Astyanax mexicanus: one gene and its partners. The protein of the gene in region 1 purifies or fractionates together with the protein of each later gene. This does not show direct contact. Links are inferred from orthologs where the notes say so. Each region holds a gene or a part of one and is shown on either strand. Other genes may lie near its edges. The genes, in order: nrp1a, ubr2, mitochondrial chaperone BCS1 and kdr.

Evidence for each region.
Region 2: the proteins of nrp1a (region 1) and ubr2 purify together in Homo sapiens (affinity purification with mass spectrometry; 3 studies listed by BioGRID and IntAct, counting the BioPlex papers as one, with this or other methods). This does not show direct contact. The link is inferred for Astyanax mexicanus from reciprocal best matches to the Homo sapiens genes NRP1 and UBR2.
Region 3: the proteins of nrp1a (region 1) and mitochondrial chaperone BCS1 purify together in Homo sapiens (affinity purification with mass spectrometry; 3 studies listed by BioGRID and IntAct, counting the BioPlex papers as one, with this or other methods). This does not show direct contact. The link is inferred for Astyanax mexicanus from reciprocal best matches to the Homo sapiens genes NRP1 and BCS1L.
Region 4: the proteins of nrp1a (region 1) and kdr purify together in Homo sapiens (affinity purification with western blotting; 7 studies listed by BioGRID and IntAct, with this or other methods). This does not show direct contact. The link is inferred for Astyanax mexicanus from reciprocal best matches to the Homo sapiens genes NRP1 and KDR.

The regions. Positions count from the first base shown.
Region 1 is NC_064413.1:44,998,576-45,005,778, reverse strand, and holds the start of nrp1a (neuropilin-1a), read left to right. Parts: upstream 1-4,175; 5' UTR 4,176-4,578; intron 4,579-6,013; exon of another isoform or gene 6,014-6,281; 5' UTR 6,282-6,616; coding exon 6,617-6,686; intron 6,687-7,203. UniProt on the Homo sapiens protein: Cell-surface receptor involved in the development of the cardiovascular system, in angiogenesis, in the formation of certain neuronal circuits and in organogenesis outside the nervous system. Mediates the chemorepulsant activity of semaphorins.
Region 2 is NC_064414.1:19,519,092-19,527,013, reverse strand, and holds the start of ubr2 (E3 ubiquitin-protein ligase UBR2), read right to left. Parts: upstream 3,018-7,922; 5' UTR 2,969-3,017; coding exon 2,885-2,968; intron 1-2,884. Other genes in the region: si:ch73-193i2.2 (transient receptor potential cation channel subfamily V member 6), read right to left, coding at 7,743-7,789. UniProt on the Homo sapiens protein: E3 ubiquitin-protein ligase which is a component of the N-end rule pathway.
Region 3 is NC_064418.1:38,080,811-38,088,679, forward strand, and holds the start of mitochondrial chaperone BCS1, read right to left. Parts: upstream 3,001-7,869; 5' UTR 2,824-3,000; intron 2,623-2,823; 5' UTR 2,547-2,622; coding exon 2,227-2,546; intron 1,129-2,226; coding exon 989-1,128; intron 836-988; coding exon 641-835; intron 546-640; coding exon 482-545; intron 227-481; coding exon 54-226; intron 1-53. Other genes in the region: znf142 (zinc finger protein 142), read left to right, coding at 5,531-5,558, 6,073-6,300, 6,460-7,284. UniProt on the Homo sapiens protein: Chaperone necessary for the incorporation of Rieske iron-sulfur protein UQCRFS1 into the mitochondrial respiratory chain complex III.
Region 4 is NC_064408.1:64,162,326-64,169,921, reverse strand, and holds the start of kdr (vascular endothelial growth factor receptor 2), read right to left. Parts: upstream 3,020-7,596; 5' UTR 2,763-3,019; coding exon 2,699-2,762; intron 1-2,698. UniProt on the Homo sapiens protein: Tyrosine-protein kinase that acts as a cell-surface receptor for VEGFA, VEGFC and VEGFD. Plays an essential role in the regulation of angiogenesis, vascular development, vascular permeability, and embryonic hematopoiesis.

The DNA of each region.
Region 1 (7,203 bases):
CTTTCATTTTGGAGAGGCCTGGCCAGGAAATATGACTGTTATTATATGAAGTTGCACTAGTTGTCTGGAACGCTGAAAAATAGGCTGTTAAGGGGAAAATTACAAGCAAAGCACTGATTAATAAATAAAATGAATGTTGTATGGAAGGCTTGTGCTGAATGAATTAACGTGGGCTTTGCTTTTTGGGTGGCAACTTTGCGAAATAAAAGGAAAGCCAAATTAAGAAAACCAACAGGGTGGCTCTCAGTGGCATGAAGCACTTTTGTTCACAGCTAATTATTCCACAGGAATGTATTAAAGATTACTCAGGATATGCAGGAACAAATCCTTTAAATGGGCCGCACATTGTTCCTGCACAATCACCGTCATTTCAGATATGGCTGCGGTAGACCTTGTGAAATTACTCAGCCCTATTGTTCCATATTCATATTACCCTCCAGAGACATCACTCTCCTTCCAGACCCTGATGGAAAGCCCTATACTATATTCTCTCTCTCTCTTTTGCTCTCTCTACCACTGCCTATCTTTAAAACGAGTGTAATTACCAATAGTGATTGGTCATAAACGAATGTGTTCCTTTGTTCAGGAAACATTTCATTACTGGCTAGTGACAGAGACGCTCAAATTGAAGTGCTCTTTGCAATCAAATCAAAGTAAAAGCATGTGGGGTGATCAAGTTGTCATCTGTGAAAAGTCTAAATTTGGGTTTTCACCTCTATTGAAGTCCCTTATCCCTGGTGAGTTGAGGGGTCATTGTTTTGCCCCCTTTAAGTGTGTTTTTCACTCTCAGAGAGAGGGACATCTGCCCCTTCTAGTTATAAATTGAAAACAGCCCTTTGACAAACAGAGGAAACAGAGGAAGATCTGATCATCATATCTTTTGAAGTCTTCAGACACGTCCCTGAAGAGCACATGCTGAATGCTGACTACAGCTTTTGTATTTCCTGGGTGCAGAAACACAAAGGTCAGCGACATGAACTCGCCACATATTGAGACAGTAACAGATAACCTGAGGGGTCAGCTAGTCCAGTGAAACATCAACCACAAACCAGAAACTGTCTTTCTTCAAGAAAAACATGGATAAGCACTTAGGACTTAGGACTGGCTATCAACAATCAAGCTTACTGAAGGAGACATTTGAAAGAAATAAGGCTTTTGTTTGTTACTCTGCAATAAATGTGACAAATTTAACCTCTTAAATTCTGCAAAACCACAGCTTTTTTATCATCAGCCAGTTTGTAATGCTGGATGTGTTGTGTAATAAAATCATGGAGCATAAGGGGTTAAATCTGTCATTGAAGAAACATCTGCTTGATTCATTCATTCATTCATTCATTCATGCATTAAACTGAATGAATGAATGAATGAATAATTGATAATGTACTAAATAAATAAAGAGCATCATTGCATATTAATAAATAAACAGGAACCATAAATAATTAAATTGGGGACAGAGTTTAGATATGTTTCCAAATATTTTCCTGAACAGTACCTTTCAAGGAAAGTCTATGTAAATAAACTGTATTTTGTATCATTTTGTAGGATTTTTATTTTTTAGTTCATTATAAAGCAAAAAAGGAAAAAGATAGTTTTATACACTGAAATGCCAATTGTTATGAGACAGTAACTAGAATTTTGTCCCATGGTTTGCCATGTCCCATAGAAGCTCTCTCACTTTTATAATCATTCACAAATAAAATTGTAGATGTTTTTACTCCACACCTTAAGAGTTCATGGTTAAAAACTACATGATGCAGCATGTCTCTGTGTGTGTATGTATATGACTACTCAGCCTTAATGAGGTCCACCACTGTTTAACCTCATTCACCTTATAGCACACTGAGCATGTGTCCTGCATTTATTCCCATTCTCGGTTCCTCTACATAGATCATGGCTGCCTTTCACATTAGTCAGTCAGTCCTCTGTACTTTACTCTCCATTACTGTACTTCTATCCTGTAATTAGACCTGCTCTCTTGGAGTTCTTGTTGTGATATCTGGTGTTGATCAGTGAAGGGTATGTTCTACTCTTGAGTCTTGCTTGGCCCCTTTGAGGGTTGTTCCTCCTGCTCTGAGGGAGTTCTTCTGTAACTGTTGCCTTTGCCTTGCCAAATGAGGCTGGATGAGACCAGGTTTAAAAGCCCTTCTAAAAATACTATTATTATAAGTATTATAAGAGAGGCATATGTAAGAGAAGAACCATTAACTAGTTAAAACATTCATGCATTCAAATGCTCTTTGATTTGTCATTTAAATAAATAAATATGTGGACAGAAGGAGAATTTGTTGTTGTTTTCTCTGTATTTCAGCCTATTTGAAATGAAATAACATCTAAAATTTCTGTCACTGTCACACAAACAAATGTGTACACAGAAAATAGCAACTTCACAAGAAAGGCACTTAACTTTCAAAGGAAGTGATCCGTGTCCTTCTGTAGCATTTTTATTGGTTTTATTGTTCTATAGGTCTAAAATATATGTTGGGACAGAAAAAAATATATATAAAAAAGGATAAGAATTAGGACATGAAGCGCAGGAACATGTTTTCAATAGCAAGTTGAAAACTTGACCAATTTTAGAAGCTTATTAACCCTTTCCCAAAAACTTTGTATATTCAAAATGTTAACTTTACAGGAGAAGGGAAAAAACTGTGTAAAAATGATTTTTTTTGTTTTCAACTTTTCCATTGGCCCTTTTCTAAAAAAAAAAAAAAAAAAACTGCAAAGAACATAAAAAATAACTTCCAGATAACAACCCATATTATATTTTGTATCGTATTATATTCATGCTGGTAACAAATTTTGATATAATGTGAATTTAAAACTGCCAGTTGTTTTAAGCATTTGTTTTTATTGAAATAAATGTATTTTCTTCTTCTAAAAATGCAGTTTACAAGGTTTTTTGCATGGCCTTAACAATGTTTACTGACTGTTACAGTATTGATAGAAATGATGGGCTTTATATAAAACTGTCATGTTGTTTACTGGGTTGCAGGAAGGAGTCCAGGCAGTGCTAACTGACTGTCCACTAGAGTAGTACTCCACCTGGAGGAGGGACCGTCTCTCTTATTTTTTTTCTCTCTCTCTCTCTCTCTCTCTCTCTCTCTCTCTCTCTCCTCCATCCTCCACTCTCTCTGCTGGCTGTGAGCGGTTTGGTGATGATGAACTGTGCTGCTCTGGCTGCTGTTGCTGTCTTTCACTTAAGAAAGGTAAAATCCCCCTTAAATCACCTTTGCATACATTACCTGTAGGTAACTTACACTAACTATATAGCCTACACTAAACACACACACGCATATGAACCGTTATAACACTAACACTAACACTGTTATGTGGTCTGTAAGTGGAATATTAAAATGCACAGTCCAGGTAAGATCAGGCATGCATGAGGGTGCTTCTTTGCTATCTCAGTGGTATTGAGATGTTGTCCACATTGATTTGTCAGTCTCAGCTCATTGCTCTGAGGACAGTTAGCAAATGCAGGTCTGAATTCTGACCAGTGCACATCATTCCTGCTTCTGTATTATTCCTGCTGCATCCTGAACAGCAGAAGCAGGAGCTGCATGCCTCAGCCCTTTTAAATGTTGGGGTTTTTTTTCATCATACGTTTGTTTTTTTTTTCAAACTTTTCACGTTTAAACACGTGCATATAAATAAACTCCTTTCAGTGAATAGCTGAGACTGGATAGCGAGCTCTCGCGCATAGAGAGACGAGCCTCACACTGGCTCAGCTCTGCCTTGCTGTTTTCTCCACACTGGAGATCCTGAAGGCCACGCCCACCGCGCTGCGATTGGCTAGGCGTATTTCATTTGCTTAGCTGCGATTGGCTGATTGTAATCCCTCCTGTTGGGCGGGTTGATTTCGAACATAAACGACTAACCAATTGCATTGACTGTGTTTAGCCATTTACAGCATTGGTGGGCGTGGCTTGGGAGATGTGGGTGGGGCGAGACATCCTAGTGCCCGCCTAGCTACCGGACAACAGATGTGATAACAGATCGTGTGAACTGAGTTTTAGAAGCAAGCTTTGATAATAATAATAATAATAATAATAATAATAATAATAATAATAATAATAATAATAATAATTTTAGTTTTTTTTCACTCATATTCTGTGAGCACGTTTATATTCTTAGTATCAATAGTAAGCAGATCTCTCTCTCTGTTTATTCTCTAGGTCTCTCTCTCACTCTCTCTCTCTCCTCCTGGGCTGGGCAGAGCCCACCAGCGAGCCTCTACTGCTGGATGTGTCTGAAGTTAATAAAGAGTGAGCGACCGTGGGAAGACACACCTGGCACAGCTCACTCACGCGCTGGAGGAGTGTGTAGGGAGAGTGTGGTTTGTGTGTGTGTGTGTGTGAGAGAGAAGAGAGAGAGAGAGAGAGAGAGAGAGAGAGAGAGAGCGTGCATTAGAGGAACGCTCCTCACGCGGAGTTTTTTTTGGATTATACAGCCTTCCTTCACCACAGCAGCAGCAGCAACAGCAGAGCACCACGACCCCCATCAGCAACAGCAGCATCAGCAGCTGGACCCCGAGACACTCTGGACATCACTGGATTTACACACTGGATCCAGAGGCAGGTGAGGATTGATTTATTGGCACGGGGTGGACAGAGCAGCGGCGCGTGGGTATGTGTCTGTGTTGACATTTGGCGGTGTTTGTCTCTGGTGTGACTGAGTGGGAGTGGATGTAGTAGGCTCGTGTCACATCACGAGACCGCCTGTTTTATATTACAGTCTACTGTATTTCAGTCTCAGACCTCAAACCTGCAGTCTGACTCCTGCTAGACTGCTGGCTACGCGCGTGCATGATAAAGCGCAAGAGACACGCGCGCGCGCACACACACCACACAAACACACGGGCCGGTTCCATTCAGTAGTTTCAGTTTCCCTAGTGAAGCAGTGTGTGTACTGTAGGTTCTACAGCGCTACAGCAGCAGTGTGCTACCCCTCAGGTGTGTGTGTATGGTCTGTCATCTGACGGTTTAAAAGTAGGCAACAATAGCCCAGAGAGAGAGAGAGAGAGAGAGAGAGAGAGGTTTAGCGAGAAAGCACAATTGAAAACACATAGAGGAGAGAGAGATGGAAAGAGAGTGGGAATGAGAACATTTAAAGAAGAAAGATAAACAGAAGACAGAGAGAGAGAAGGAGCTAGAGGGATAACAGAAAAAAGATGTAAACATAAGATAGAGTCAGAGAGATGGAGATTGAGACATTAAGAGAAGTAAATAAGAGAAAGACAGAGATAACGAGAAAGAAAGCTTAATGGGGATAGAGAACAAATAAAAGACTATAACAGATATAACACAAATAAACAGAAAAGAGACTGAGCGAGATATACTAAAAGAAAAATTGAAAAGCAAAGAGAGAGAGAGAGTTAGAAAAAAAGCAAGCACACAGAAGAGAGATAAACAGAGACATATGGTGAGAAATAGAAAAATGAATTAGATAAAAGGAAACAGAGAAACAGAAAGAGATAAACCGAGAAAGTAGAGACATGAACAGAAAAGAGATTGAGAGTGAGATATTATAAGAGAAATAGTAGAGCAAGAGACAGAGAGTTATAAAAGACGCAAGCACATAGAAGAGAGAGAGATAAACAGAGAAGCAGAAAGAGATGAGAAATGAACAGAAGAGAGAGGAAGTGAGATACTGGAAGAGAAATAGAAGAGAAAGTGTGAGCGTTATAATAGAAGAACGCACACTGAAAAGAGAGATAAACAGAGAAATAGGATGAGAAATAGGCATAAAAATAAATATTAGATTGTGGAAAAAATGAGAAAACTGAGAAATTGAGAGAAACGAGTGAGAAACTAGTAAACTAAGAGAGAGAATGTCAATATCCCTATACCTCTCTCTGTGCCAGCAGTAGTTGTGTGTGTGTGAGGGGGTGTCTCCCTGTTTAAGTCTGTGTGTTGGATTGTCTGCGGTGTGTGTGTGTGTGCGCGCGCGCGCGCGGCAGCTCCTTCCTCTGCTGTCACACTCCGAGTCTTAAACAGCGCTCACTCACACACACACACTCATTCTGCAGCCAGAGCGCGAGCGCGCAGGAGCTCCATCTCTCTCTCTCTCTCTCTCTCTCTTAGATACACACATACACACCCTCTGTTCTCACTCTCTGTTAGACACACACTCACTGTGTGTGTGACTCCGGCTCGCGCTCACTGTGCTCGGTGTCTTCTTTATTGTGGACGAGGATTAAAGTTCTGCACGCGATACTTATTATCTCTCTCTTTGTGTGTGTGTGTGTATCCTTTCTGTCTGTCTGTGTGTGTGTGTACCAGGCTGTGTATGCATGCGCGTGCGATTGAGTGTGTGTGAGAGAGAGCGTGTGTATGGGTGCGTGGTGAGCGCGTGAGGGACATGGCAGCCCCGGAGCTGGAGCGAGGAGCTGGGCTGGATGAGGCGCGCGGAGAAAGGAGCTGAGCGGCGGGATGAGCAGGGAATGACAGAGACCTGAACACAACAGCAACACTATCTATCTCTTTGTGACACGAGCTTGATTTCTGATCCAGAATCCGGGAATATTGATCTCTGAGGATTTTCTATTTTTCCTGATTTTTTTTTGGTGTGGGACATTTTCTGGTTCTGGTCCAGTTTTGAATCGCCCGGACCGAGGATGCGTTGTTGTGGATTAGCGCTGGTGGGCTTACTGGGAGTGTTGGAGATCGTGAGGGCTTTCAAAAACGGTAAGTTTTCTTTATACCTGCTTCCAAACCATTGTTTTTCGTTATATTAGGTGTAGCGCATAGCGCACAGTGTGTATCTGTGGGTTACTGAAGGTGGGGAATGCTCAGGTTAGCTCCTGGTCACCTGCTCGTCCAGGATCCAGGATCCCCGTGCGCTGTATAAAGCCCTAAAATAGCAGCCCATAATCTAAACCTGTCCGTAGCCCCTTGCCTGGAAGAGCAGGTGAGCCCATATTTTATATTTCTTCATTATTAGATCTTAAAACATCAATATGTGCGCAAAAGCTTGTAATATTGCTCTCCAGTTTAAGATGGGAAACGCTTTCCCTTAATTTCAATGTCCAAACCTGATTTCTACCACTTTTCCATATTTAAATGAATCAGGAAATAGGCCTTTATTCTACTCAACTTGTATAATGATTAGACTAACCACCATGCATCAAGGCGACTTGGAATATAGTCTCCTGTAAAGTTTACATATCTTACAAGAAAATAACATATTGATTTGTTCTTTTTG
Region 2 (7,922 bases), on another chromosome or scaffold:
CTGTATTGGCACAGGGTTAGAAGTGTTTCACTCCTTGGAGCGACACTCTTAGAGCACACAGACCCACTTAATGCAGTGAAGAAAGTCAGGTTCATCCTACATAAAAACTTAGGACCAACAGGGGTGATCTAGGAACTAAATTCAGATCATACTGTCGGTTTAAACTTCTGAACTCTAGATATAAGCACTCATTCTCTCAGAACTAGTGGCCGCTAATTTGGTAACACCATAGACATACACATGACATACACAGACAGAGTTCTGTTGGTAATTGTCCAGTAAATAATGTATACATCACATAATAGCATATTGTTCATTACATTTTAGAGGGTTTACTTAACTACTTAGATTTCATTTCCGTGGCAAAGGCATTACATGCGCAAAGGGATTACATGGGTAAATGGAACTTGGCACTTTCTGACCTACTAACCTGGATTAGACTCACAAAGCCTACAGTTGGTCCTCTTTTCATTTCTGAGATTTGTTTTCATGTGCCATTTTCTGCCATGACACAGTATGATAGCTAAAAGTTCCAATACAGATTGCTTTAGAGGTTAAGCTGTACTGCAGACAATAGAAGACTACAGTATACATGCTGTGTTTCTGCCTCCTGATAACAGCCAACATGCCAAAGTGACCAACACCTGTACTGCCACATACAAACAACCATCACTGAATCTTCCAACTACAGAACTTCTGAACTCACCCAGTATTAGTAGTTAGTAAATTCTGGTCATTATTTTGAACAAGCTGTAGATGAAGGTCCTGGACAGACAACATTGTCAGCTAGATATACAATAGTCTATCTGGTGCCAAACAGTAAACAAATCTGAATTACAAAAGTGCATGGGAACCTTTCTTAGACCACAGCAAAAGTTTTTCATTTTTCTCTTTTAAACCTGGAAGGTATGTGGAAGACTGTGCAGCTCTAAGCAACATGTAAACATAGCTAAACATCCTGGACAATTCTGATCAGAACATTTCATTCATAGCAATAACGTCTAGGAGAAAAGGGATTATTATGACAGATTTCGATAGAAGGGCTGCAATGATTAGGCTAGTCGATATAGTCAACAATGTCGATTATTTAAATTTGTCAACTACAAATTTCATTGTCGACTAATCGTTAATTTCTAACAGTACTGCATTACACAAAGTGCTGGGGACAGAAGCGCATTGGGAGATGGGTAAATGACTCACTCACACAGTTTACACTCAACTTAGTCTGTGTCTCCAAAAGTGCCCAAAAACAACAGATTACATATTTACTCACTAAATAATCAGTACTTTCCATGTTTAAACAACATCTGATTGTTTACATGCTTTTTAAATCTCATGTTTACCTTTTTCGATCATTTTTTTATAGATGGAGGACATAGGAAAAAGAATTGTTGACTAATCGACTAATCAAAAAAATAATCGTCAGATTTGTCGACTACCAAAATAATCATTGGTTGCGGCCCTATGTATACATTTAAAGCATTTTAGCTTTTAGCTACCTACCCTACTCTAGTTTATTATATTGTAACCCTCATTACATAATCAACCCATAAGAGCACCGACACAGTTCTGAATATTGATACTAATTTTTTTTCTCTTAATGTACTAAAAATAGCACAACTGTAAACATGTTAAGGTCAAATCCCTGATGTAAGAATCATTTTAACAGTAGTAGCAGTGTGTACTAATTTTACTCAGGTCTAAGTAACAGCGTGTTCTATTACTAAAATTATTTTTAAGGAAATCAGTGTAAAAAGGATTTTTGTAAGGACATTTGGCCCATTCATTATGACATTCTGACACAATTAAAAGAACAACTGTTTTCAGCCATTCAGTCACAACTGAGGGTGAAATTTGCCTTACTGTGTTGCAAATACTAGCTACTTGTACCAGGGTGTTTTAGAAAATGTATACAAACTAATTATATGGACGGTAGTTAAAACATTTCATTAAAGCATTTGAATTGAGCTGTGGAAGCTAAAAACAATATTTTAAAAGGATATAGTTTTATCTGCAGCACTAACCCATCAATCCTACATCCTGTAGTTAAATAAGATCAGCAACATGTGTCACTTAGGGAATTTGCTAGTTAGCTAGTTAGTTAGTTTTTTTAAGTTAAAATGACGGACAGAATGCATTAAGGATCTTTACACATCTTTTAAAGGGTCTGTGACTTATAGATAACCGAACTATTTATGTAACGAGGGGCTGTTTTTGGTTAAATTCTTCTTGTAAGTAGTTAGATTAGCTATCAGCGAACCTAACTACATAACCTAGTTAACTAACTCGGTTATATTGCTGTCTATTTGTTCATATTTATTCTATTTGAGTTTTTATTGGTCACTTTTGCATCTTTGTGTAGGGAAGATAGTAAACTTAGCAAGTTTTAGCTATGTAAGCTACTGTAACAGTCTAATAATATGTAGCTTTTTAATATATAACCTAAACCTAAGGCAGTTTGCAATGCTGGACGAAAACAACCAAATAAAAACACCCTCACCATTAGCTACAAAACAACACTACATTTAGCTAACGTACGGGTCTCAAAAATAAAAACAGTTAAATATTAAACACTTAAATACGTAGCTAACTGCACTGCCAACCCACAATTAAGTGGCTGTTGCTGTTTAGTTTGTTAGCTAGCTACTTATCTAGCCAGTTATTCACCAAGAAAGCCAGTAAAGCTTCTGTAGAGGCTGTAGCTGTAGCTATAGCTAACCCTGTGTTAGCGTTAGCTTAGCGACAGCGGCTGCTATTCTGAGGAAAACAACCCGAGTGGAAAAAAACGCCTCAGTCACCGCGGAAAAAGGAATAACCGCTTTTCTCCCACACCCCGTCCAAAAATACAGCAGTTTAGCATCTATTTTATAAAACTGTCCCCTACCGCAGCGGTGTCCTTCGCTGAGAATTGAAGAAATTCGCTGCAGAGAGCGGACGGGACTTCACGATCAGTTTCAGCCGCCGCCATCTTCACACTTCACTGCTGGAGCTCGGGCAAAGGAAACGGAAATCAGCCGTTCGCCCAACTTCCGAAAAGAAACGGGTCAACTTTTCTTAGCTGACAAATAATAACACCCAACATAATGGTCTGCTGTTTCTTCTTTGTTGACACACAACTAAGCACTGCGTCCTGAGTCCTAAATTAATATGTAATATGATGTTGGCCTACACAACATAAACCCTCACATAGGCTCTATCCCATTTCTCTTGTGTATCCCTACCCCTTATTTTCGAGAGTAAAATCATCTATAAATAACCCTTTAAGAACCTGATACACCTAGCTTGTAACAATCCTCCCCTTAGAATTGGGACAACCAAACAGATATAGATATATATAGCTCTGGAAAAAAATTAAGACACCACTGATGTAGTTTCTCAATCAGTTTATTTGATTTGTGTAAAATGCACATTTTGGTTTTATTCTGGCTGAAAATACAATAAAAAAATCAGAGCTTTCAGACCTCAAATAACGCAAAGAAAACAAGTTAATATTCATAAAGAAATCAATATTTGGTGGAATAACCCTGGTATTTAAGCACAGTTTTCATTCATCCTGGCATGTTCTCCTCCTCCAGTCTTATACACTGCTTTTGGATAACTTTATTCCACTCCTGTTTAGCTTTGTTTGATGGTTAAAGTGATCATCCATCTTCCTCTTGATTATGTACCAGAGGGTTTCAATTTGGTAAAATCATCTGTTTTGAGGGCTAAGTGATAGAAATAATGCCAAACTCTTTGGTTAGCTATATGCTAAATTAAACAAATACTAATAATAGCTAATAATTAGGTCATAAACATTTAATGAATCCATCAATTTTAGCTAAGCAGCTATAAGCAGTGTTATTTATGAGACAAATGTTATATTTTTTTTATCTGGATTGTTTACCCTGTATGAGGGAAATTTGCCTGTGTTTTGTTCAGTGCTTGGTTTGGGCCCAATCCCATTTCACCCCTTGGCCCTACCACTTAGCCTTTTCCCTCAGTTTTGGTAGGATACGGTGTCCCAAATCTTGTTAGGCTGGAGGGCTAGGGGTAAGTGTTAAGCTTACATGACCCTTTAAACTGATATTTTAAAACACAAAACAAAGGGTTATAAGAATTATTGGCAAGATGATGGCAGAAGCGACCAAAGAAATCCAGAAATTTGAATATTTTCCTAGTAGTTTCGCTAGTAGTTTGTCTCAATAGCTAACTAGCGAGCAAACCTTCCCATTCCACCCTTAATGGTGCAACAGACAATGGAGGAAGAAAAAAAGCTAATTTCAGTTCCCCTCACAGATGAATTAAGACAGGCCCTCTTTCTGAAGACATTCCCTAAAATTTACTAACTAACCAGCAGCTGTGGCTGAACTTTACTACTATTCATCAGCCCGGCAGGATTGCTTATAGGTTCTTGAAAGGTTGTCCCAATTCTTAGGGGGAGGATTTGTCCCCTTTCTTTTGTAACCTTTTTCTAAGGGGAAGAGGTGCAAAAGAAAAACAGGATTGGACCTTTAGTGTGGCTGTTTTTCACTTTTCTAAGGCCGTTTTTTTAAACCTGAAGGTCCTGACCAGAATCCGTACTAAGGGTCATGTGTTAAAATGTGTACATTTAGTCCGGTTAGTTTTGGTTTTATACTGCAGTTTAGTGACTGAGCGGAATAAAGAACTTTACTACGTTCCGTCATCAGCAGCTACGGGATGGAGTCTTTTTATACTTCATATTGATTGGTTTGTAGAATGTTAGTTATGAGTTTGGTGCGTTAATCTGCCAGGTGTTGTGACGAATTCTAGCTCTCTGTTAGAATCCGACTCCCCTTCTCATACCTGCACCCCCGCAGCATGTGTGTAAAATGAGTGTAAAAGATTATCCTCAGATTTCTTTTATTTCTGTTTAGAAATAAGGTTAAATCTACTGTTATAGTAAATAAATGAATTTCCAGTCTAAATGTTTAGGTCCATACTGCGGTGTGATGCAAGGAGAGTCAGATTTTGGCACAACACCAATTATTTTTTCCCTCTGGTTTGTTTAAAGACTTCTTCTACTTTCTGTAATTGCCCCCGAAAGTCCAATCTATCTAGAAAAGTATTTCAGACTGCAGGCAAACTACTTTTTTCTTCAGACCAAAAATTGCTTCTTTGGTTCTGCCCACATTTACACCCGCTACTTTAGTTCAGAAACAAACTGTCCAAAAAAATTCATTAAAAAAAAAAGTTACATTTTGGATGAAAGTTAAAGTTAAAAATAACTTATTTCTATACATAGAAATTCCAACCTTACATAAATGTCTTTTATACTAAAGAAAGACGTCTTTTTACTACCTTTCACTTTCAACCAAATTGTAGCAAAATGTAAATGTAGTTTTACCAAAAAGCTCTGACGTACACTGTCTGGCCAAAAAAAAGTCTCCACCTGGATTTAACTAAGCAAATGATCTGGTGATGCTGCAGTTGGTCTGCAGGTTTAGGTTCAGCAACAGTATGTGCTGAAAAAATGAGATCAGCTGACTACCTGAATATACTGAATACAGACCAGGTTATTCCATTAATGGATTTGTTCTTCCCTGACGGCATGGGCATATGCCAAGATGACAATGCCAGGATTCATGAGGCTGGAATTGTGAAAGAGTGATTCAAGGAGCATAATGGATTGTTCACCACAGAATTCAGATCTTAACCTCATTGAAAATATTTGGGATGTGCTGGAGAAGACTTTGTGCAGCGGTCAGACTCTACCATCATCAATGCTGCTGCAAGATCTTGGTGAAATATTAGTGCAACTCTGGATTGAAATAAATCTTGTGACATTGCAGAAGCTTACTGAAACAATGTCACAGTGAATGCATCTTGCAATCAAAGCTAAAAGTGTTCCTAAATATTAGAGTGTGTGACCTTTTTTTTGGTGGTGACTTTTTCTTCAGTCTTTTTATAGTCCTGGAGGGAAGCTTGCTTTGATGCATGTGAATTCAGCCACTACCTCTTTTCAATCCTGCGTCACTAGGCACCCTCTCAGAGGAAAGTGCTAAATTCCCAACTCTGATACATCAGCCATGGTCTGTTGTGTTCTCTCTAAGTCTGGTTGCTGGTACCAAAAAAGCAGCTAAATCTGCTGTGCTGCACACTTTTTATGTTTACCTTGCTTCCAATATACCCAATCTAGCTAATCATCGCATTAACAAGCTTGTTGTTTTGAAGGTAAAGACAATAAAACCACTAAAATGTGCAGAAACCCCAACTTTAGTGACTTTAAGTCCAGATTCTAACATGACCAACAAGATGTCTTCCAAAATCAGTAAAAAAAAAAAAACATAAATAAATAGACTATATTTTTCAGCCAGGAAAACTAAGAAAAGTAAGAAAAGTGTTACAAATGTTCAAGAAAAGTTGAGCTTTTTTTTTTGCTATAAAACCATTTTTATTAAATTAAATATTGCTACAAATGTCATGTACAGGTTCATGTACCACCATCATGTCTTAACATGTTTCTTTTTAAAAAGAAATACTTTTTATTCATAGAAATTTTGTTTTGTTTACAGTTTATCAATAGGTCTAACACACAGGTGCCTCACACAATCAGTCAGCTATTTTTGCTAGCTGTTTTAGCAACTTTTTAATGTTTTCTTGATTTTCTTGATTTTAACTTTATGGAATTGCCTCCCAAGCTGTTGACAGAAGCAACAATTGTTTGCATGTTATTACACATCACTTATATAATACAATACGATTATATTCAATGTGTTCATGAATATAGATCCCACAACTTGACTTTGACCTGATTTCTATATAGCCATAATAAACTTCCAAACTAACTAACGTCCCACCTACAAGAGCAGTTCTGAAACCTTTGAAACATTTGGAAAAACACAAAGTTTTTTATGTTTCTTTATGGAAAGGATTATTACACAGTTCTAGTTGTTAAATTTTAAATTCAATTAAACTCTTACATTGAGAGTCTTTTAATAGGCCACCTACACTTAGGGTCTTATACTAGCAATCTATAGTGCATGGGTCAATTAAAAGCGTGTCATTGTGTCTTTGGTATTGTAAGGGCACATTCACACTGTGAAGGTACGCCAGCAGCTTATTTTTGGGAACAGCAATGTTATTTTATTCTTTATTCTGTTTATTGTTGATTTGTGCACTGTAGCTAGTTTATTTGTGTGTGTGTAAGGAGCAGGGATGTACACAAGCTGAGCGTGAACAGCACTCCTGCATGGCTAAGACAGGATTGGACGGATGAGTGTTGACTGTTGTCAGGGTTTTAATCAGTCAGTGGCGCACCTGTATTTCCCGCCGCCAAGATAGAAACACAACAGATATTTTCCTGAACAGGCGTCACTTTCAAATTAGCACGCCCATCAGTGTAGATATATTTCTAAACTTCAACACTTGCAAGATAGCAACGAGCATCGGAACACAGCAGGGGAAGGTGTACGACAGGTGCCATTAGTGTACATACAGTAGGTTGTTGTCTATGGAAGTTATGAAAAATGTCCCGGAAATGTCTTGGACATTGATTTTCTAAACTGAGGAAGACATTTGAAGAGCAGTGGGGCATTCATATTAGACAGTCCTCACTTTTACACCAGGCAATTCACCACAGAATCAGCACTGCATTCAAATACATGACCAGAATACCATCTGTACCAGTATTCAACCATTATCCAAATGTGGTTGGATTTGTACCACACACATCAGTCTGGTTTAAGGAAGACTCCTTATTTCTCATATTTAAAAGCAAACATAGTTCACTCGTCCATTCTCTACAATCCTGTAGTTGTTGAAGATGTGCTCGGAACATCAGCAGCAGCTGTAAACATAATAAGCACAAATGTGAGAGATTTATTATTTGGGGTAAGTAAAAATCTTTTTGCTGAATTTGCCAAGCCATTCACTTAATATGTAAAAGGAAGTGAGGAAGACATCACTTCACCGTTCTAATC
Region 3 (7,869 bases), on another chromosome or scaffold:
TCTATCTAAATAGGAGATTGTGTAATCAGTAATAAAAGTTACTGAGGTCATACTCTCAGTGGGCCGCAGCTCCCGACTGACAAAAGCAGCATCTACATCCTCCAGAAGAATGATACTCTGTTGTGGAGCCACACTCAGCAGGTGGTTCAATCGGTCATCTGACAGACTGCGATCACTAAGACTCATCAAACAGATGCTGTAGCCCAGTTCCCCAGCCAGTGCTGTTCTGCACACAAGCATACACAATACTTCTATAAACACAAATACTTGTAATCCAAGTTAAAGTTCATTTTTATTAAAACAATTGCATCATTTTTAACCACTTCTTCTTATTTTATACTGCACATTATTTTGCCTCTTTATTATGTATTATTACATGCTGACATTATACAGTACATGTTCTGTATACAGTAATGTTCTGCAGTAATTGTAGAAAAATGAATAATTTATACTAAGATAAAAACATTTTTACTGGTCTTACATGAAGCTGCTTTTTCCACATCCTGGAGGTCCGTACAATAGATACCCCCTTCTGTATGGAATTCCTAAAACAAAAGACAAACAAACAAAAATGAAAACTGAAACAAGAAATATTTTTTAAAACTTTAAGAATCATATCTCACAGATTGTTAAACTGTACCTCTGTCAGTATACCACTTTGGATTACTGATGAATTCCTTTACATCATCCACAAGCCTCTCGGCCACCCCAGCCTCCAGGACAACAGAGGATAATGGTCGGCGGCGGCGGGGGAAGCCAAACGGCCTCCATTCTGCTCCCATAGCAGTATACATCACTGTCCGACCCTCCTCCTGCTTTAGAGCCAGCTCTCGAGCTACACAAGCAAGCAAGAAACAAATCCATAAACTTTCTCATTTTTCTTAAAATTATTCAACAATAGACAACTTTTATGAATTAGAATCCTAATGTATGATTTTCTAAAACTTGATGCAGCTAAGGTACATGTTGTGACTGCTGATCAACCTACCTTCTTGCAGTATATTAAAAAATATCTGCCTGTTTCGGCCAAGGGCAGTAAACGTGACAGATTCCCAAGGTACTCCTGTGTTCAGATTCACCATCTGTTTCTCCCTGGTCCTCTCCACCCTTATCCACTTACGCCCATACCTGCAGTAAAGTGATTGCACATATTTAATTATTTTTTTGTCCAAACAATGAACACATAAAAACACAGGGTCACTGATTGAAAGAGTCACATTATTTTCACTGTTGCCACTAGACTGGTTCAGTAATTAGGCTTAATAAAATGACTAATTGGGAGGTTTAATGTTGACTTGTTTGTGGTTGGTATGGCGCAGTGAATAACAACCCCACCTCCTGCCAATGAGCTACCACAACATGTGGGAGATTGGGGTTCAATTCCCACTCTGGGTGACTGAATGCTGCGCTACACCAATAAGAGTCAGTGCAGGATCACTGCCTCACTGAGGCAGACTCCTAACACTACATTGACCCACCTCTGTAAGAGGAATAACCATGAAAGTCACTCTGGATAAGAGTGTCATCTAAAATGGCATATTTGATGCTTTATTCAATTGTCTAAATAAATACAACTTTAAAAAAAGTCTATGATTTGTTTATTGTTTTGTATATTTATATAGTCATGACTTCCCAAGTCTCCCTGAAGTTGCGGGAGTCTACCGCATATTACGAATACGAACAGCTTCCTGAAGTCACATAAGATCTCCTGGAATCTAGAAAGAGTGGCCCAAGAGTGAGCACAAATGCACATGCAGGTGACATAGACTTTTTTCCAATGGCGCATGTGAAAAAAAAGGAGAGAAAGAGAAAAGTGTTCCCCTTGTGTGCACATTCACAAAGTGCATGCAAAACAGAGAGGGTTTTTAGTGTGGGCAGGCAATGTTTTTTTTCCCCCTCCTGGACGGGACGCGTTCAATGAGTAAGAGAAGGAGCATCATGGCTCCCATCCAAACTCATTTCTCCTCTGACTTATCTAAAAAATATTTTTTTCCATAAAAGTAAAAAAAAAAAAAAAAACAACTAAAGTCTTGCCCGCTGTACAGTTTGTAATAGTGAGTTTAGTATTGCCCAGGTCCGGGGGTACCTCCATGAAATTAATTTTTGCAACTGGGATGTCCCACAATTATGATAGTCTCAAAGCTGTGTCCAACAATTAACTCCTGTACAGTGTAATCTCCATTTCCATTTAAGAACTGTATAAGGTACGTTAATGTAGTGTCTCACCAAATGATGTGGTTTCCAGGACTTGGGTGGAAGTCAAAATGTGTGTGCACCCGTCCACTCTCATGCTGCATGTATGAAGTCTCCACACTCAGATGCTGTGTATGCTTGGCATGTTTGGTAATCCAGCTCAACAACCAGTGGTAACTCTTATCTTTGCTGGGAACCTCTAAAGTGATCATGTAATGCCTCCTGAAGAAGATCATGCCTATCTGTGCCCCCTTCCTGGCAACTGCAAGAGCTGTGCCCACACCAACCAACCCAAAGCCTGCCCCAAAGTAGGGGTTGTCCTTCAAAGCCCCAAGGAAATCGGAAAGGGTCATTTTCTGGATGCACTAGTTACTTAAGTGTGTCCTTAATCAAGCACCATCAGTCCAACTGTCCCTCCTTTAATGAAATCTGCAAAACAAGAGAGAGATCACACATATAGCTATTCATTTATCTCCAGAATTTATCTATCAGTCACAGAAATAGCTCTGAACATATCCAGATGATGATGATTAACCAGCTCTGGTTTACATAGCTAGCCTAGCTTACCAGTTATTCTCCTATCCTGTCATTGAATGGAGTCTAAAGGAGAACCCAAGCTGCATTACTTACCTAACTAACAGTATGGACACATAACTTGATCGTGTCCATCTCATGGTTTAGGTAATGTAGTACTTCCACATAAATCCATAACTGCTGCTAAATCAAGTGATTTCAGTGCTTTAGTGTCCCCATACAGGCACTGAGCAGACCATAGGGCCAGGACGGATCACCAGAGCTGGTATATGGAGAGCCTACCCACTGTTCAGTTCCCCCGTTAATCAGAAAATTAATACAAACCGCTAGAGGGAGCCCGCGAGTTAGTCTTTAATGAATGGTGATGAATGAATCTAAACGGCTTAAAACTCTAATAAAAATGAGTAACTAACAACTTTTCCAGGATATTCCTTTTAAGTTAGAAAGTGGAAGTAATTATTTCGATAACAAAGTAAAGAAAACTTACCTGCATACGTCCATTTTATACAGAAAACGATTTTTTGACAGCAGACCCGCTAGCATTACTGCTACTGTAAGCACTGAGAGTGGTTGGTAAGCTGATCCTCAAGAGTGGCGTTTAAATGGCTTATAACATGAGTTTACTAGAGTTTAAAAGCTTTAAGAAAAGTTTTGATTGCTTCAAGGTTAAGCAGTGTTAGAATTTCATTATAATTTTTTGCAAACTTTGAATTTCTGTCATTGTCCCTATTGGTATTTTATATAAACATAAAGTTTGTATGTGAATATTAACATTCGTGGCCAGCTGTATTTACAAGCAAAGGCCTATTAATGTTTTTTTTTTTGTATTCAGCAGTTTGTAACTGAACAATACAGTGTTCATGATGAATGTCAATCCTTCATCTAAAAACAAAGAAACAGATGTTCAGAACCCTCAGCCTTAAAAACAGAAAAATCTAAGTAAAAAACCCAAAGCTTCTGTTCTTATAAGGGAAACATATGTACACTCAGCGCAAGCTAAGCAAGCACTTCAGTTCTTTTTATTTATTTTGAGAGTACTGTAGTCTTCCATTAGATTTTGATTTGGTAAACAATCCTCTGATTTATTAAAAAAAGACCACGCCTATTTTTTTCTTGATATGTAGATTGCATGGGAGAGGGAATAAAGCACATCTTTCGCACTCGCATATGCAGAGAACGCCTGATTTTTTTTCTATCAGTTGCTCCATATGAGCCCGAAAGACATTCTTAAGTGGGTATTCTCCTCTCTACAAGCTCTGTGGTCTCACATGGCCAGCGCAATGACACTGTAGGTGTTCTGGGGAACGTTTTCCCGTAGAAACCAGGACCACCAAAACAGTTCCGGGTTACATGCTAAAATGAGCCAAAAACAAAAAAAATAGGTTAATAGACGTGACACACAAATGTAAAAAAAGGTGCTTTAAATGTAACACTCAAGCTAAATGTGAAAATTGCGTTTACTATTTTTTTATCAACAGCGCTGCGTCGTCTATGCTAGTTTTGTAGGTTAACTACTAGCTAATAACGAAAACAGAGGGCGCCGCTCGCACGACATTTCTCACTCTGTATCACTGCAAGTGCGATTAATGTGAGTAAATTAAAACATAATGGGGCGAATTTTTGGTGTTAGTTAGATTAGTGCTACACTGTTAAAAGCTCAACTTTTAAGAACCGCAGATTATGTTAAATAGAGTGAGTGACTGTTTAGGCGCTAGATTAGCCTGAAAATGCGCTGTTTTTCAGAGTGGAATCTTCTGAAACCTGCAGGCAGTCGGTCATAATTATGTTTTGATTTTAATAACAATATTTCAGCGTGTTTTTAGTAAATTTCTCAGGTTAAAACTGTTTTTAAAATGTAGCTATTTGTAAATTTCACTCATAAGAGCCCAGACCATTTCTAAATATTGATGTCAAATTCAAAATTTAATCAGATAAAGTAAGTAAGCAGCACATTCATGTTTTTCTCTTATTGATACCACATGACTAAATATTTTAAGATTATAATTACACAACACAAATTTCATAACTTTTATTTTAACAATTTGTTCTAAGAAAATCATGTGAGAACTAGTTATATGAACATAAAACATTTCATTAAAGCATTTGAATGGTTAACTGACTGAAAGAAGTCCAGCGTTTATGTATAGGTGCTTCCCACAGATCATAACTTATTATATATAATATATAGCCAATTACCCAACCCACTTATTAGGACTCCCCTTTTCACTAGTATTGCCCTAGAGAGAGCAAGGGCATGACCCGGTTAATAATTATTATTTGAATGTCTTTTTCTACACTGCAAAACCACAGTACAGACTATAAGAATAAAATGCAAACAATTTATACATATTTAATGTAAATATAGCTTAATACAAACCATACATATAAAACCACAATGTTAAATCAAAGTTGACTCAACGTAAAATCATTGTGCATAAATTAAATAATTCTGACATCAAAGATCAACATTATTTTACTGCACTAGCAATGGAAAATTAGGGATGATTACACATCATTTTGCTATCTGGGTTTGTTTCTGTTTTTGATAAATGATTGAATGAAATTCGAATGCAGCTAATTTAATCTTTTGTCTTCCTTTATGTTTTTTTTTTCCAGGTTTGAATAATATTTTTCAGTTGGAATATCTTTTATTTATATGTAGGGCAGCTGAGGTAGACGTGAATTACTGATACTTCATCCTTCCAAGGCAGGTGATGGTTTAGCCAGGCATACGAAGATGCACTAATCCACCTCACTCACTTCTCAAAGGATTTACCAACTGGGCTTTTACCATTGGAGCAGGATGGAGGAACAAGAGCTAAGCAATGACAGTAAGCATAAGAAATCTGTAAAAAACGGGGGTTAGTCATCTACAATTTAAATATTCTTATTAAGGCAAATAAACATCCCCAGCTTGCACTGGACACCAGTTTGATATCAGAAAGATTTGGACTTTAATGTTGGAAAAGTGAAGTTTAGTTGTCAATGAAAATCTGGTAGACATTCCAATTCCAAACATTGTACAGGTGTTAAATTGTGGTTTGAAATCAAAGTCACATTACTGTCAAAAACAATCAAGATTGTGACATCAAGCTTCAACATTAGATACATGTTGAGTTTTGATTGCTACAGAGTTAAACATTATTAGAATTTCATTATAAAGTTTTGCAGACATTTCATTTTGGTCACTGTACCTTTTTTTTATGTAAACATGATGTTAGTATGAGACTATCAACAGTGGTATCCTGCTGTGTTTAAAAGCAAAGGCTTTTTACATAAAACCGTTATGTAATTGTTTCCTAAAATATTTTTGTTTCTAACTACATTTGTGTTTTTTTTATTTAGCAGTTTGTAACCAAGACAAATCTGCAATGCAAGACAGTGTTCATGATGAATATCAATTTAGAACTCAAAAGACAAAAAGAGAGAAAAGGAGAACAGTTCTGAAGCATACTTCAGCTGAAAACAAAGTAACAAAATTTAAAAATCCTCAACCTCAAAGACGGAAATATGAAAGTAAAAGAGATAAAGCTTCTGTTCTTAAGGGGGAAACATCTGTACACTCAGTCCAAGGTGAGAAAACAATTCAGTTCTATTTTCATTTCTTTAATCTTTAATTTTATCAATTGTTTTGCTCTATCCATTAAACCTCTGTTTCGTTAAATAGGTATTTAGGGTGTACTAGACTGAAGAACTTTTAAAATCCTGCCTGTTATTCTTATTGTTATTCAGGTCACGTGGAAGAGGGAACAGAGCACATGTTTCGCACTCACATATGTACAGAATGCCGGCGCTGCTTTAAGACCCGCTCTCATCTGATGGAGCACATGCGTATCCACTTTCCTGACCCCAGCCTGCAGTGCCCCACCTGCAAGCACTACTTCACCAGCAAGAGCAAACTTCGTGTCCACATGCTAAGGGAGTCTGGTGAGAAGCTGCACCGCTGTCATTTGTGTGAGTACAGTGCAGTGGAACGCAACACCCTGCGCCGCCATCTCATCAGTGTGCATGGGCATCCAGGAGAGGATAAAGATGCCACAGACCTGTATACATGCCCAACCTGCCAAAAGACCTTTAGTCAAAGTCAGGCGTTAAAGGGCCATATGAAATCCCATCACATGACATTTGATGGGCAGCCTCTGCCCTGCTTTCAACAGGGATGCTCCTTTCAATGCACAGAGAAAAAGCTGCTTCAGAAGCACCTGTTGGATGTGCACAGAATCAAGGCTGTGGAGTGTCGTCACCATGCATGCTATGCTTTGTTTGGATGCAAGGAAGATATGGAGGTGCATTTTCGAACACATCAGGCATTTCATTGCACACAGTGTGACTTTACATGCTCTAACAAGAGCCGTTTTCAGCAGCACAGAAGACAAGGTCATGCAGGGGACAAGAAGCTCAGCTGTGGCTTCTGTCCCTTTACTACTTTCAATCCAGTTGAGTATGACCAGCACGTTGGCCACTTTCATGCCAGTGAGAAAACTCACAGATGCCAAGAGTGTAACTTTGTGACTGCTCACAAAAGAGTCCTTAAAAGACACATGCTGATGCATACAGGTGAGTTGACCCTTAACTATATATATGTATTTTTTATATCCAGCAAAAACATTGTTCATATTGAAAACCTTATGCCAGGTTTACACTACATGACACTTTTCTCACTACAGATCTTATTGTCTGTAGTGGTTGTGATTTGCACACTGCAAGAATGATCAGTGACAAAGGGTCATAAAGTACACAATCTTTTACGTGGAGGAACTCACAATGACTTTCCAGAATCACATTTTTTGGAGAGCTCATGTTGTGCCATGTGCAAGATCCATGTTTTCTTTCAAAATGTTTGTCTGTAAATAAATGATTGATAGTGCCCTGCTAGTAGACCTGCTAGATATTTGTTGGGAGTTTGCAATGCATCAAAGACCAATCTGCAGTCATTTGTATTGCATCCCTTACCAGCTCACACAAAGCGTCTTAGGCAGCGCAGAGCAAATGTTGATTTACTCCAACCAAATCAAGATTAAAATTGTGTAGTGTGAACCAGGTTTTACAGGAGAGAACAAACCCTATCTAATGTTGACTGGAATCCAATATAAAGAGATTTTATTTTATTAATTAATTTTTTTATATTTTTAATTTTGGGGG
Region 4 (7,596 bases), on another chromosome or scaffold:
TTCAGGAATTTATTAGTGTACAGAGTAAACAGTAAATTTGCCAGTCTTGAATCAACACTGATTTTGTTAAACAAACATTGTGAGTGTTGAAATGTAATTAAACACTGGCAAAGTTAATGTGTAGCGCCAATCTGGGTAATAGTTTGAAGGATATTTACTTAATGTGCTTCATGTCATCTTTTCTCATTACCATAGTAACATCATCTTTTAATTTGAACATCCATTGTACCGACATTTCTCATAACACATAGAACAATGTGACACAATCCAGAAGCTTCTCTGCACCAAATTTAAATTTTCTTATTTTGATTCATCTGACCACAGAACAGTTTTCGGGTTTGCCAATTTTAATGAGCTTTGACCCAGAAAAGACAGCAGTGCTTTTGTCAGAGGTCAGTGGCTTCTTCTTTGTATCAAACAGTTTCCACCTGCATTTGTATATTGCATGCTGAACCGTGTTTCTGGAGGTGTTCCTGAGCCCATGCAGTGATTTTCAGAAGAGAATCATGCCAGTTTTAATGCTGTTTTACCTGAGGACCTTAGGATCACCAGCATCCAATACTGATCCCTCTCCCTTGTCCCTTACACACAGATTCTCAGATTTTTCAATTATGATATGTACTGTACATGTTGGGATAATCAGGAATATCTTTAATTTTACATTGTGGAACTTTTTCATTAAAATTGTTTCACAAATTGTTGATGCATCTTTTTGCAGGTTGGTGAACCTCTCCCCATCCTTGCTTCTAAGAGTCTTTAACTCTCTAAAATGCTCTTTTTGTACCCATTCATGGGAGTTAGTCATGAATTGCTCCTATTGCAGCTGTTTTTATTAGGACCAGCTTTTTGTTGCCCTGTCCCAACTTTTTGGAGATGTGTTGCTCCCACACATTTTACGACAATTGGGAACTATACTATTTTCTGTTCTTTTTTACATGTATTTATATCATGAGGAATTCGATTTGGGGTTTGTATATTTTTATATTAATTAAATATACAAAGTATTGTAAGCAGAGCTGAACCCAAAACCTTACTATTTTCAGTACTCTTGCTTTGTATAATTCTCATTAATGCACATTTCTCCTTGTATCAGCAGCATAAATACACCATAAACTATACAGACTATAGCTGATAACAGCAGTAGTGAATCCGACTGCTTGAACTGGCCTGGTTCAGAATTCTGGGCCCATACAACTGAAATATTTCAAAGCACAAGTACTGATCTAAGACCAGCTTCCATCCATGTATTCTTCTAGAGACCTGAAGTCCACCTGATCCAGGACCAGCACTCTTGGAGAATTCTGGAGTGTGCAGTCTAAGCTCTGGGGCTATTTTTCCACTGGAGCAACAGCAGCAGTGCAGAGAACTGACTGTGTCAAAACAGGAAGCTGGGGCAGATGGGCCGGGGCCGGCCTAAATGGCCCCACGCTCCAAGCCCTGAGGTGGGGTTCCTGCTCCAGAGGAACCAGGGCAAGGGACAGCACACACACGCACACAAACATCGGCCCACAGCTACAATGAGCACACCCCACAGGGCCCCACTAATTCAAACATTTGATTTAAGAAGTGCTGAGATCTGATCTCAGAATTGTTGCTCACTGAGGTCATTTCAAACAACAATGCCAGTGTGGGAATGGCACCAGGTTCTGGGCAAAATGGTCACAAGTTTTAAAAAAAAAAAAAAAAGAAAGAAAAAAAGATGAAGGGCAAACGTTTAATATGAGCAGTCTGTCAGAACTAGCATTTGATCTTTATTATTTCTTTGATGACTTGTCATAAGAAATTATGTTTTCTACAATTAAATATTTTTATATTAACCTACAAATGTAATGTTAATGTATATATATATATTTATATATATAATATTTTGTATGTTTTTATACATAATTTTGATGTTCTCAAGCATTTTAAGACACTAGTCTGATACCCCTCCCTTCCTGAGCTGATTACAATTAAGCAGGAAAGAGTGGGTGCGATATATTTAGAGCTACTAAACACTTATTTATTTCTGAAAAAAAAATTGATGCACTAAATGTATTCGAACATAATAAAAAAATTAACATTTAACCAGAGAAAGGATATCGAACAAAATTTAATTAAGGTTTCATTAGTTTTGCCACTTTTCTCACCATAAAATACATAGACTATGTGTTTTTTTCCTTGCTTTTCAAATAAAACTTTATTGTTTGGTAATTATATATATAATTTTTATATATTATATTTATAATTCTATCTATTTAAACACACATCAAACACATATGAGTTTTTTTTTAAACTCTGTTGTTGTTTTTTTATTTATTTATATCTAGATATGTTGTTGCTTTTGTTTTTTTATTTTGTTTAAATCTAGATATTAGTGTTGTTTTTTTTATTAATTTAAATCTAGATATATTTTTTATTTAGATTTTTTACATCTATTCACTTACTGGTTTTGCTGTGTATTTTACTTTGAGTAAAATATTTATAATGAGTGGAACAATTATTAAAAATTACTTTTTGGATCTTTTTATATGGACTTTTACTTAAGAAGGGTTTTTACGTCTTTTCCAATGACAACAACATAAAAGACATAATAAACAAATCCGGGTCACTGCTTCATAATAAAACAATATGCAGTTATATTTATTAGATTTTAGGCTTTTGGTGGGTAAATAAATTATTATTATTATTTTTTAATATAAATCTGTATTGGTCTTACCTGTCACCCAGCTGACTGCAGAAATAATGCCCACCAGAGAGAGAAGTGAAAATGGCTTTGCCATGGTGCGACCACCCTGCCGGACTGTCCCCGCATCAAACCCCTCTTAGAAGTTCCCACAGGACGGCTATTCTCAGCTGCGCATCAGGACCCACAGCTCCACACTCACACACACACTCTCTCACACACACTGCTGTCCACACTCTCTCACACAGTCCTGTAGCGGAACCCGGAGATAATCCACTCAGCGATGCCCCGCGCACTGCAGGAGACCCGCGCGCTCCACACACACACTGAGGGAGCAGCACAGAGCGCGTGAGGAGGGAGATGATGGGGGGAGAGGGAGGGGCCGGTGACCCAGCCTCAGTCTCGAGCCTGGAAACGTGTGATAAACTGGACTGTGGGGAGTTTAGATCAGGTCTAGGAGTCAGGATGCGTCTTATCAAACACTAATTACCCCAGCACCTAAACCTATCAAGCAGTGAGTGATATCAGACCTGAACTGACCTGCACTCATAACAGTGATACTAGTGACTCTCACTACCAATAACAACAGACTCCTGTTCACAAAGCACAAATACACTGCCTGGCTAAAACAAGCAGGTGATCTGGTATTGTTGCAGTTGTTCAGGTCTGGGTTCAGTAACAGTATGTGCTGAAAGAATGAGGTCAGCTGACTACCTGGATATACTGAATATAGACCAGGTTATTCCATCAATGGATTTGTTCTTCCCTGATGACGAGGATATATTCCAAGATTACAATAACAGAATTCATGGGGCTGGAATTGTAGAAGAGTGGTTCAGGGAGCATGAGATCATCATTTTCACACATGGATTGTTCACCACAAGAAAAAGTGCAAAAGAAGCTTAATAAAAAACTCTGTTTACATCCCATAACACTAGCTTCAGCTCCGAGCGCCACCATCACTGAACTAAAAAATTACATAGACATAAATATACATAGACTTCGCATAGCCTGCCTCTTGGCGCCAGATGCTACGCTATGCGGAGCTGAAGCTAGCATTATAGGATGTAAACAGTAGTTTTTTAATAAGCTTCTTGTGCACTTTTTAAGTTATTAATGCATCATTTTAAATGTCAAGGTTCTCTGAATTCTGTCAAGGAGGTGTGGAGCTACTTTGAGGCTGGATAACAGTGGAAAAAGCGATTCATCGGGTCACCCGAGTCACCCAGTCTGAAGGGTGTTTGGACTGTGTATAGCTGGACAGAGCATCGTCTCTCAAAAGTGAAGCCACCACAGGTCGGGCGCCCCCTGCTGTTCGGTTTCAGAAAGCTGTGTAACCCCACCCATCCCCATAGGTTTCAATGGCAAAACAGACAACTTTCAATCACGTTTTTTTCTAATATACTGTATGTAACCCCTCCTACATCCCAGGCCAAAGGGACAGGGCCCCAAGTTCATTAATTAGACCTCTCCTGTAAATTTAGCTACCAACTGTAAATATGTCTTGAAGAAGTAAAAGACCTAGTCACAGGTAATTAAAGATATGTGGCTGCAATGAGTACTCCCAGTGAAGTTTATTGATGCACAAAAACAAAATGTATAAATGGGGATAAATAAAACTATACACACTAATGTGTAATTAGATCTGAAAATACCAATATAGGGAAAGAACTGATGTATTTCTTTTAAACCTTCTATAACCTAAATAACTTCAACTTAGGTAGACAATGCAGTGGACTCAATTAACATATTTAGTAATACTTGTTTAACAAAAAGAGGGGGAAAAAAAAAATACATTTATAAATAAATACAAAGAGCCGGCAGTAAATAAGAAATAAAATAAAAAAAACGTTGCAGGCCTGATACTGTTTCTGAACGGAGATGTTTACTCACAGTCACTCTTGACGAATTGACTCAGATTCATGACTCAGATTCTTGACTCAAATTCTTGACTCAGATTCTTGACTCAGAGCGGGTAGTTGGCCACTCTCCTCTACCTGAACAGGACTGAACTGAAGAATTCCCACGTTGCCGGAGGAACCACAGGTGCTTCCTGGCTGACCTGTGGCGCTATCCGGGGTAAAAGTGCTCCCACGAGGCACCCAGAGGAACCACGAGCGTTATCCTGGTAGCTCGTGGCGCTATCTGAGCGGCGAAAACACGCAGCTCCGCGTGGCTCGTCACTAAAGTTAAATCTCGTTACGGTTAGCCGGCTAGGCTAACTTACAAGCTATAAACAGAGTTAAAACTCATCTAATAGTGTTCAACAGCGAACTCTCTCAAAGAAAAACACTTCAGAAATACATACTCACTTAACTCATGGGTCACTCTGGACCCAAACTTTAACAAAACACCAAAAACGCCATAAAACATCCAGAGCTCCTGTATTTTTTCCCTCGTCCCTCTCTCTCTCCCTCTCTCTCCCTACACACACACACCGCTACTCCATTTCCCCGCCCCTTCAACCAATCAATGGAAAAGGAGGTAAGATTGGCAGGTAGATGACCCAATAAATGGACTCCCTAACCCTCTAAGGTGCTTGGGATGTAAGAACACTTTTCAAAATACTGTATAATTCAACGTAGAAAAAATATATATATTCTTATTACATTAAAAATCTTACACAAACTGCTACAATATTTCAGTACCATTCAACAACACCTATAAAACATTTTTTTTTCAGTAGTTAGATACATAGAAGCATGGAACTAAATATAGAACTGAATTATATTTGGGCTACACCCTCCCCCTTCTAAACGTCTGATGTCCTCATCTGACTTTTAAATTTTACTAGGCAGTTTCATTCGAGAGTCAACCGAACAGAAAAACAGGGGACAACTGAGGGTTCTACTGGGGGCGTGATATATATTCTCATCCCTCGGTGTACAATAACTAGAGGCTGGTCAGATGAACTCCCAAGCTCATCATAGCTCAGACGAATGACAGGTTTAACAGCTCTTTTACCCAAAGAGGGGTCACTGGGCATCATGTCTGGTTCGGTCTCCTGTTCCTCCAACAACTGTTGGTCACTGGTTGAGACCTCCATTGTATCAGAAACATCACAAAATTGCGATTCGGGTGCATTTTCCTCCCCTACAGACATAGGTATGTCTGGCTCCCCAGGGGGTTCTTCCTGTTCTGCAACTTCTGCATCGACAGGCTCACTTGCAAGATCGTGGCTCGGCCCCTCTGGCTGTAAGGATGGACTAGGAAAATGTTCAGAGAACTCAATAGGTCTGACATAAGGCATGTCCTCTTCCAAATCAGACTGCTCATTTTCTGTTTCAAAATGGCTCTCCGTGACTCTCGTTTGCTGCTGGCGACGTGTCCGAGCTTGTTGGTCCCCAAGGCTTGAATGTGAGTCTGCTATATCTGAAACATTTGGTAAACGCATCAGACAGCCAATGGGTAAAAGGTGGTCTCTGTGAAGTGTTCGGGGCACCCCTACTCCTCTCTCAGGTTTGACTCTGTACACAGGTATGTTAGGCATTTTTTCTACCACTGTATAAGGCACAGAATTCCACTTATCTTTCAACTTTTGTTTCCCAGTACTCCCTAAAGCACGGACCAGAACCCTGTCCCCCACCTCTATAGGAAGGTTGTGTACTTTGGCATCATAAGCCTTTTTGTTTTTGTCATGGCTCTTGTTAGAACACTCAACAGCCAGTTGGTATGCTCGACGCAGCTCTTCACGCAGCTTTTTCACGTACATCTCATGCTTGGCTTCCTCTTGCCCTCCCAAAGCAGTGCCAAAGCATACATCTATAGGTAAACGTGCTTCCCTACCAAACATTAAATAATAGGGAGAGTACCCCGTAGCATCATTACGGGTGGAATTATAAGCATGCACCATAAGTGCAACATGTTGACTCCATCTGTGCTTCAATTTTGGATCCAGGGTGCCCAGCATGGACAGCAGTGTGCGGTTGAAACGCTCTGGCTGGGGATCCCCTTGAGGGTGATAGGGAGATGTCCGGGATTTTTTTATACCCAGCAGGTCAAGTAGCTGCTTGATCAGGCGACTTTCAAAGTCACGCCCTTGGTCGGAATGGATACGGGCCGGCAGTCCATAGTGGACAAAGAACTTTTCTAACAGTACTTTGGCTACGGTAGGGGCCTTCTGATCCCGAGTAGGATAAGCCTGTGAGTATCTGGTGAAATGGTCTGTCACTATAAGGACATTAGCAATACCTTTAGAATCTGGCTCAACAGATAAAAAATCTATGCATACCAAATCAAGCGGGCCTTTACTAGAGAGCTGACCTAATGGTGCTGTTCTGCGGGGCAGAGTCTTTTGAGCTACACACCTGCCGCATGTTTTAATGTAGTTAACTATGTCCGATGCCATTCTGGGCCAATAAAACCGGTCTCTGACTAATTCAGTAGTCCTTTCAACTCCTAAATGGCCAAAGTCATCATGTAGAGAGCGTAGAACTGTATCCCTGTAAACTTTGGGAAGTACTAACTGGAAAATGTCATGCCCTCCTCTGTTGGTTCGCCGGTACAGGAGTCTATTTTTTAGCACAAGCTTCTGGAACTCACGTTTGAATAAGGGCATGTCTGGCATGTCACTCTGGAAACCCAGGGGCCACAGACCTCCATCTACAGCATTCCGGACCCTACTGATGACTGCATCAGCCTCTTGTGCTCTCCTCAAGTCCTCTCCACTCAGTTGCTCCAGTGAACTAACACCCAGTCTAGTGGGATAGGCATATAATTCTGGAATAGCATTAGGTGAGGCTCCTAACTGCTCTACATACCTGCTAGGCATGTCAACAGAAACATTCACCTTCTTACAGGAAGCTTTTACTGCGGCTGGGGAGATCCACCCCACATCATCGGTGGCATTTCGAGACAAAAGATCTGCATCAATATTCTCCCGTCCAGGCCTATACTGGATGCCAAAATCATATGTGGAGAGGGCAGCAAGC